Nothobranchius furzeri: one gene and its partner. The protein of the gene in region 1 purifies or fractionates together with the protein of each later gene. This does not show direct contact. Links are inferred from orthologs where the notes say so. Each region holds a gene or a part of one and is shown in the gene's direction. Other genes may lie near its edges.

The links.
Region 2: the proteins of eif5 (region 1) and eif3ba fractionate together in Homo sapiens (co-fractionation; 3 studies listed by BioGRID and IntAct, with this or other methods). This does not show direct contact. The link is inferred for Nothobranchius furzeri from reciprocal best matches to the Homo sapiens genes EIF5 and EIF3B.

What each region holds. Positions count from the first base shown.
Region 1 is NC_091758.1:10,699,774-10,703,545, forward strand, and holds part of eif5 (eukaryotic translation initiation factor 5), read left to right. Parts: intron 1-2,806; coding exon 2,807-2,979; intron 2,980-3,229; coding exon 3,230-3,341; intron 3,342-3,442; coding exon 3,443-3,573; intron 3,574-3,772.
Region 2 is NC_091744.1:16,233,062-16,236,491, reverse strand, and holds the end of eif3ba (eukaryotic translation initiation factor 3 subunit B), read left to right. Parts: coding exon 1-71; intron 72-146; coding exon 147-219; intron 220-316; coding exon 317-439; intron 440-518; coding exon 519-597; intron 598-647; exon of another isoform or gene 648-725; intron 726-797; coding exon 798-936; intron 937-1,014; coding exon 1,015-1,140; intron 1,141-1,171; exon of another isoform or gene 1,172-1,256; intron 1,257-1,329; coding exon 1,330-1,407; intron 1,408-1,560; coding exon 1,561-1,669; intron 1,670-1,747; coding exon 1,748-1,848; 3' UTR 1,849-1,860; intron 1,861-2,021; 3' UTR 2,022-2,559; downstream 2,560-3,430.

The sequences.
Region 1 (3,772 bases):
TTAACAGTGTAATCAAGCAGAACAACAATCACCACCACCCACCCGCTACACTGATACTAAAAAATACACATATGAGAAAATAAAAAACAACAAAAAATCACGAATAACAGGCGCATCAAAACACAACAAACCTCAAGCAAACAACATTAGTTCTTAATCTAGTGTTCCTGATCTTCTCAGGTTTAGTATATGGGACGTTGTCTCCACAATACACTGGTGGGTGAGAATCTTTCCACATGGAAGAATGAGTCTTTGAGCCATTAAACGTGTTACAACCAGGTGTCTAGGGGGCCTGGGGTAACATGGAGGACGCGTGACACAAAGGAAAATTAACAAAAGTTTTATTTACTGTCTCTTAATTCAGAAAAGATGACTATTATTATTGTTAACCACCATGGATCTAAATCCACTTTTACCAAAACAGGTTCAAACAGTAACATGTAACATAACTCTAAAGAGCACAATATCGAAGTTCTAAGTGGGAGACAACAGACCAGAGGAAAGGCAGCTCTGCGCTATTGTCCCCATTGGTGAGGAGCTCCAGCAGGTCCTTTAAACAATTTGCGGCTGATGAAAACCCAGCTCAGCTGGTGCAGGGAGGAGCAAGGGTGAGCCAACAGGTCATAGTCTGCAGGCAGGCTCCTCAGATGCAACATAAAAATGCACAGAAAAATGAAATCACAACACAAAAAGGCTCCAGCCGTGACAAAACGTCAAAAGGTGACAAATCTATAATTCAGTGTCTGAAGAGGAATTCACTGCAACTGCTCCAAACAAAGCAAAGTGTCAGGGTGCACAGTTGTCCCACAGATCTTGAAGAGTGCATTAAAAATACCCCCGCAAATCTCCTGTAGGTTCAGGCACGTCCAGAACACGTGAAGAAGTGAACTGGATTAGAGCCCTGCTCTGACGCCCGGCCCTCGGCATTCTATTTTTCTGTGAATAAATTCGTTCTGCAGTTAGAAAAATACAGCATTCATTGCTGGTTTTTCTAACTGGAGCATTTTCAGAGCGGCAGATTAAATTTACAAACGCTATAATAATTGGGGGCAATGTGCTCTGCAGTTAGAAAATTAGAATGCTGCTTTTTTTTTCTAATTGCACAAGAGCGCATTTTCAGAGCAGATAAATTTTACAAACGCATCCGATTAATATTGTGTTCGTAAATTTCATCTGCCGCTCGAAAAATACGCTCTGTTAGAAAAAAAATCTGCATTGATGCTGTTTTTCTTTTTTACTGCAGAACGCTTCTCACAGAATGCTGAGCATTCTATCACGCTAAAACATTATGAAAGGTTAAAAAAAAGTCTGGCTCGGGTCGGACCTGAGAATCCTGAAAACCTTTTCGGACCGGGTCGGGCTGGGGCTCCACCCCCTCGGGCCGGGCCGGACACAGGCTCAGATTTTAGGCCCGTGCAGGGCTCTAAACTGGATACTTGCTCGGCTCAAGGATTTATGAACGTTCTGTAAAATCTCGTACCAGACCTGCAACAATCCAGTACCCAGGTCCAACTCTTATTTCTGATAAAAAAGCATCCAGACTGGTCTGATGGTCTGAGCTAAGCTGGGTGTACTTAAAACAAGGAAGACGGAAAATGGATGGATACCGCTGCAGTCGGAACCAGGTGCCCATGCCACATACGCAAGATCATGCTCAGCTCCTCTGCAACAGTCTGAGATTAGTGGGAGATTGGCTACATGCTAACTCGAAGCTACAAAGAGCTTGGAGCCAAAGGGGGTTAGCTACGAACTACCAGAGCTAATTCAAATCTAACGGAGGTTTTCGAGTGCTTTAGTGTGAAAAACAAGGTTGAATGACCCAAAAGTGACGCAGCATCAACTGAAAGAGCTGCAGTGTTTCTGTGATCTCCCTCAGCGCTTCCCAGATAACGAGGACAATTGCTGCCTTGCATGGAAGCCAAGCAGCCGCACGGCTCAGCTGTCACGGGAGTGGGTGGACACCTGCTTCTAGCAACTATTCCCAGTCGGGATACAGGAAGTCGGGCGCCCGCCTCGCTGGGCTGCCTCCAGGATGATGGAGCTGCAAATCATTCACAAACCCTGTCTGGTCATGTGAAACTAAAATGGGTAGCACCGTCTTGAGGTGCCTGACCAGGACCTTCACCAGAATTTTAGCATCTACATTCAAAAGCAAAGCCGTACTATAAGAGCATAAGGGTTTGGTGTTTTAGTCTTTTTTTAAAAGCACAGAAATAACAGCTTGACGCGTATGTGGCAGAAACGACCAAGCTGTAGCGAACTCATTGAAGACCAACAACAGCAATGGTGAGAGTGGCCCATAACGTTTAGAAAGTAAGCCACCATCCTGTCTGGGAGATTTGCTTCTCGGCGTGTTGCTGATCACAGAAGCAATCTCTCTTACTCAAATATCTTTCTAGATCCTCGGCCATATCCACACTGATAAAGGGAATCGTTATACCGTCGACCAAAGCTTCAAAATCACCCTCCAGCAGAGTCGAGACAAGGACAGCAGTCGGTAAAATTGACCAAACTTGAGTTGATAGTTTCATTCAAGCATTAAGTGATCTGTAACCGCTCGTTGTCCTAGCACAAGAAAGGTACTGAAGCTGTGAAACTGGATAAATCTACTCTTTCAGAAGGGTCCTGGGACGTGGAGCCCTGCAGGTCTGATCAGCCCGTGACGCATGCCCAACTACTACCGTGGATAGTCACTTCGGAAATAAAAAAATGCTCTTCCCCCATCTGTTCATAATATGACCTGTTAGAGGTTTATTTAGAAATAATATTTTTATTACATACTTTTTCCTTTTCTCTTTCTCTGCAGACCCAACCAAGTTTTTTGGTTGTGAACTCGGCGCTCAGACCCAGTTTGATGCCAAAAACGATCGCTACATCGTAAATGGATCCCACGAGGCGAACAAGTTGCAGGATATGCTTGATGGGTTCATCAGGAAATTTGTGCTGTGTACCGAGTGCGACAACCCTGAAACTGATCTGGTGAATGAATCTACGTTTTCTCTGAAATGGATTCTAAGAGATTTTAATTCAAGGAACTAGTAAATCTAAATTTGTCTCATTGGTAATTGTAGGTTTTTGAAGGATTTTACTTTGTAGACTATAAAACGATTAGTTAATTACTTTTTCTTGGTGTTTCGATTAAATTTTAGAAACACAAATGTGAAAACAAGTAGATTAAGTCAGATTTCCAAATTCAAAAGCTAAGTGACTGTGATTGCCGTCTTTGCAGCATGTCAATCCCAAGAAACAAACCATCGGCACTTCCTGTAAGGCTTGTGGAAACCGCGGCATGCTAGACACCAGACACAAACTCTGCACATTCATCCTCAAAAACCCACCAGGTGAGAGATTCTAGTCTGTCGCCAAGTTTACAAGACAAGGAACCTCTTCTCATGCAGTCCCATAAACACGGCTGTGAAATTGTGTGCTTCACCACTAACAGAGAGCACTGACAGTGGGTCTGCATCTGCAAAGAAAGAGAAGGAAAAGAAGAACCGCAAAAAAGACAAGGAGAATGGCTCGAGCGGTGGCGAGGCTGGTAACCAAGACAACATTGATGCCCCTGAAGCTGTGGTATGTTTTTGGTTCGTCATGCACACATTTGGCATTCAGCTAGATGGATTCATCCACAAACAAACCCCCAAACTTTGTCCAAAAATAAAAACTACAACATTTACATCCAGTTAGGCTCTTTTTCTGATTTTAAGGTAACAAATTAAAAATTTTCCATGAGTTTTGTATAAACGGACATCTGCGTGCCCTTCTGGTGTTC
Region 2 (3,430 bases), on another chromosome or scaffold:
GCAAACTGCACTGGCAGCGAAATGGAGATTATCTGTGTGTGAAAGTGGACAGGACTCCCAAAGGAACTCAGGTATGCAGCCAGAGATAGACTGTCTTTATATCTTATTGGATTTACGATAAAAGGCCCATCTCTGTTCGGTTCCAGGGTGTTGTCACCAACTTTGAAATCTTCCGAATGAGAGAGAAGCAGGTTCCTGTAGATGTCGTGGAGATGAAGGGTGAGAGCAAAAAAAAGAAGCATTTTTGCATCTATTTTTGACCGTTTTATTTTATAGAAGTAATCTAATGCGATCCGTTCGTGTCCTGTCTTCTTAGAAAGCATCATCGCATTTGCCTGGGAGCCCAACGGCAGCAAGTTTGCTGTTCTCCACGGAGAGTCTCCCAGAATCAACGCTTCCTTCTATCACGTCAAAAACAACGGGAAGATCGAGCTCATAAGTCAGTTGGTTGGGCAGATGAGCGAAAGTCGTTTTTTTAGTGTCTTTACTCCCTCTTGTAATTTTTATTATTTTTACAGAAATGTTTGACAAACAGCAGGCAAACAGCATTTTCTGGAGCCCCCAGGGACAGTTTATGGTGCTGGCTGGACTCAGAAGGTAGGGTGTGTGTGTGTGTGTGTGTGTGTGTGTGTGTGTTTTCTCTCAAAAGCCGCTGATGATAAACTTTATTTTCTGACACCTCATATGAGAGCTTTGCTCCTGATTCTAATGCTGTTCTGAGGCTTGTATCTTTTCTTTCACCTTTCACCTCTTGCACCTGCCCCAGTACCAAGTCTTTGTTTTGCCTCTGTGTTCAGTATGAACGGCGCTCTAGCCTTCGTGGATACCTCTGACTGCACCTTGATGAACATAGCAGAGCACTACATGGCCTCTGACGTAGAATGGGACCCGACCGGCCGATACGTCGTTACCTCCGTCTCCTGGTGGAGCCACAAGGTGTGTCCTGCTTCCACAAACTCACTCGCTCTTCTCTTCTGTTTAAACTCATCCCTTCTTTTGGACTCATTTGTCTAGGTGGACAACGCGTACTGGCTATGGACCTTCCAGGGCCGTCTCCTCCAGAAGAACAACAAGGACCGGTTCTGTCAGCTGCTCTGGAGGCCCAGACCTCCCACTCTGCTCAGCATAGATCAGATTAAGGTACCAGTTTGCCTGTAAAATGTGTGTCTGGAGCCGGTGATGACAGATAAAAACTTTCTGACACCTCGTATGAGAGCTGCACTCCAGCTCCTGATTCTATTTCTGATCTGAGGCTCATAAATACTTGACATGACATTTCAACCTCCTTGTTTTAGAACAGTCCTAATTAACTTGTGTTTTCCCTTGCAGATGATCAAAAAGGATCTTAAGAAATACTCAAAGATCTTTGAGCAGAAGGATCGTCTGAGCCAGTCCAAGGCTTCAAAGGTTTGACCTGTTCCTCCTTTTTGACATTTTACTCTTCATTGAAGTACAGATCTGTACATTCATGTTATCTCCTTCATCTTTGAAAGCTTGAGTCTGCCGACACTTAATTTTCTTCACTGCTGAAGTCATACAAATGTGTGTTTGTGAGCGTAGGAGCTGGTGGACAAGCGCAGAGCCATGATGGAGGAGTACCGTAACTACAGGGAGGCGGCGCTGCAGAACTATCAAGAACAGAAGAACCTCCGCCTTGAGCTCAGAGGAGGTGGGGCTCTGCTTTTACAAGCTCGACCTCGATGACCTCTGTGCTTCATTTTAACATTTGGATGGTTTGGTCTTCCAGGAGTGGACACTGATGAGCTTGACAGCAACGTGGACGACTGGGAGGAGGAGACCATTGAGTTTTTTATCAACGAAGAAATCATTCCCCTCGGAGATCTGTAGTCCGCTACGCAGGTAACACTTGATACGTGTAACAAACATGGCCACTGGTGTTTTGGTCCAGTGTTATGCTGGAATAACTGGAACAGCCCATTTTCTTTCTATTATAATTAGTTGCTTTGCACTTGGTGTCTGTATCAATGGTGTGATTTGGTGCTACTCTGATCTTCCTTTAGTCCATCTGTTGTTGTGTGGAAGGAGAGGATAGGAGCGGTGTCACTGACTGGAGAAGGACGACGGCCTCACTGTGACAAACGTTGGGTTCGTCTCGAGCCTCAGGTTTTCTTTTAGTGGCATCATCAAATCAACGTCTTGTGGATCAGCAGCCACATTGAGGAAAAAGAGAAGCTATCCAAATTATTTCTCTGCCTCACAATTGCCATTTTCTTCTTTGTGGAACTGGAAATTTAGTAAAACTGCCTTCATTTTTAAACATTGGTTGGAGTCAAAACTCTCAGCCCTATCTTAGTGGACCTTCTTCCTCCTGGGATTGATTCTGAACAGGCCTCATCATGCTGGTGTGTTGCTACAGCGCAGCACAGAGTGTCAAACCAGTGCATGAGGAAGGTGTTGAGTCAAAACCAGTAGCCTTGTCAACAAATGTGCTGATGTGGCGTTATAGTGGCCTGTATCCTCCTCCTTTCAGATTAGGCTTTCACACAGGGAGGGGGTGCGCAGTGGGAATAACTTTAAATAAACATTCTAACACAAGTACTCCTCTGTTCTGTTTTTGTGTCTTAAACAAGTTTTGTCCTGTTTTATTAAAATTTGTCAAAATGCAACAAAGGGTTTTTGAATGAATCTGTGGATAACAAATTCAGATTAGGGCTAAGTTTAGCAATGTCCCTGAGGTGAAAGAAGGAAGAGCGATCTAGAGAACTGACATGGTAGTCCAAAGTAAGAGCTGGGTCAAAGGTCACCAGGATTCCAGACAGGGTTTGGTGTGAGAAACAAGCTGACAGTCTCTGAGAACCAGCTTGTCTGGGGCACAGATTAGGATCTCAGTCTTCATTCAGCTGTAGAAAGTTACCAGCCATCCAGATTTTAATGGAGTGAGCAGATGTGTGACAGCTGCAGCTTGGACATCTCATGGGGTTTAAAGAGGATGTGCAGTTGGGTGTCATTTACATGAGGATGGTAGGAGATTCCTTAAAAGGACCTCAGAGTGCTGAAGGGGTAGCAGATAAAGGAGGAACAGTATTGACTCCAGCACATAACCTTGTGGAACCCCATGAGCAAGGGAGGTGGGGAAGAACCAAAACTTGCCAAAGAGATGAAATACTTGGACAAATAGGCGGCAAACTAATCTAGTATAGTTCCCGATAGGCCTAACAAGTAGCTTGGACATGAGCTGGAGTTTAGCGATGTCATCTCACAGTCAAAGCTATACTTAAAGGTTTTCTAAAGCATAACTCACAAAAAAGCTACCAAAGCTTATTTGCTGCTTTTGTTAGTGGATCAAACAGTTAAAATTATTTTAAGGTTTTGTATTTAATTGTATTTTCATGATGATAGCTGCATAATTCAAACTGGGTGTTTATTGAATAAATGCAATAATATTAATCAGTTTAAATGACTTGCAGTG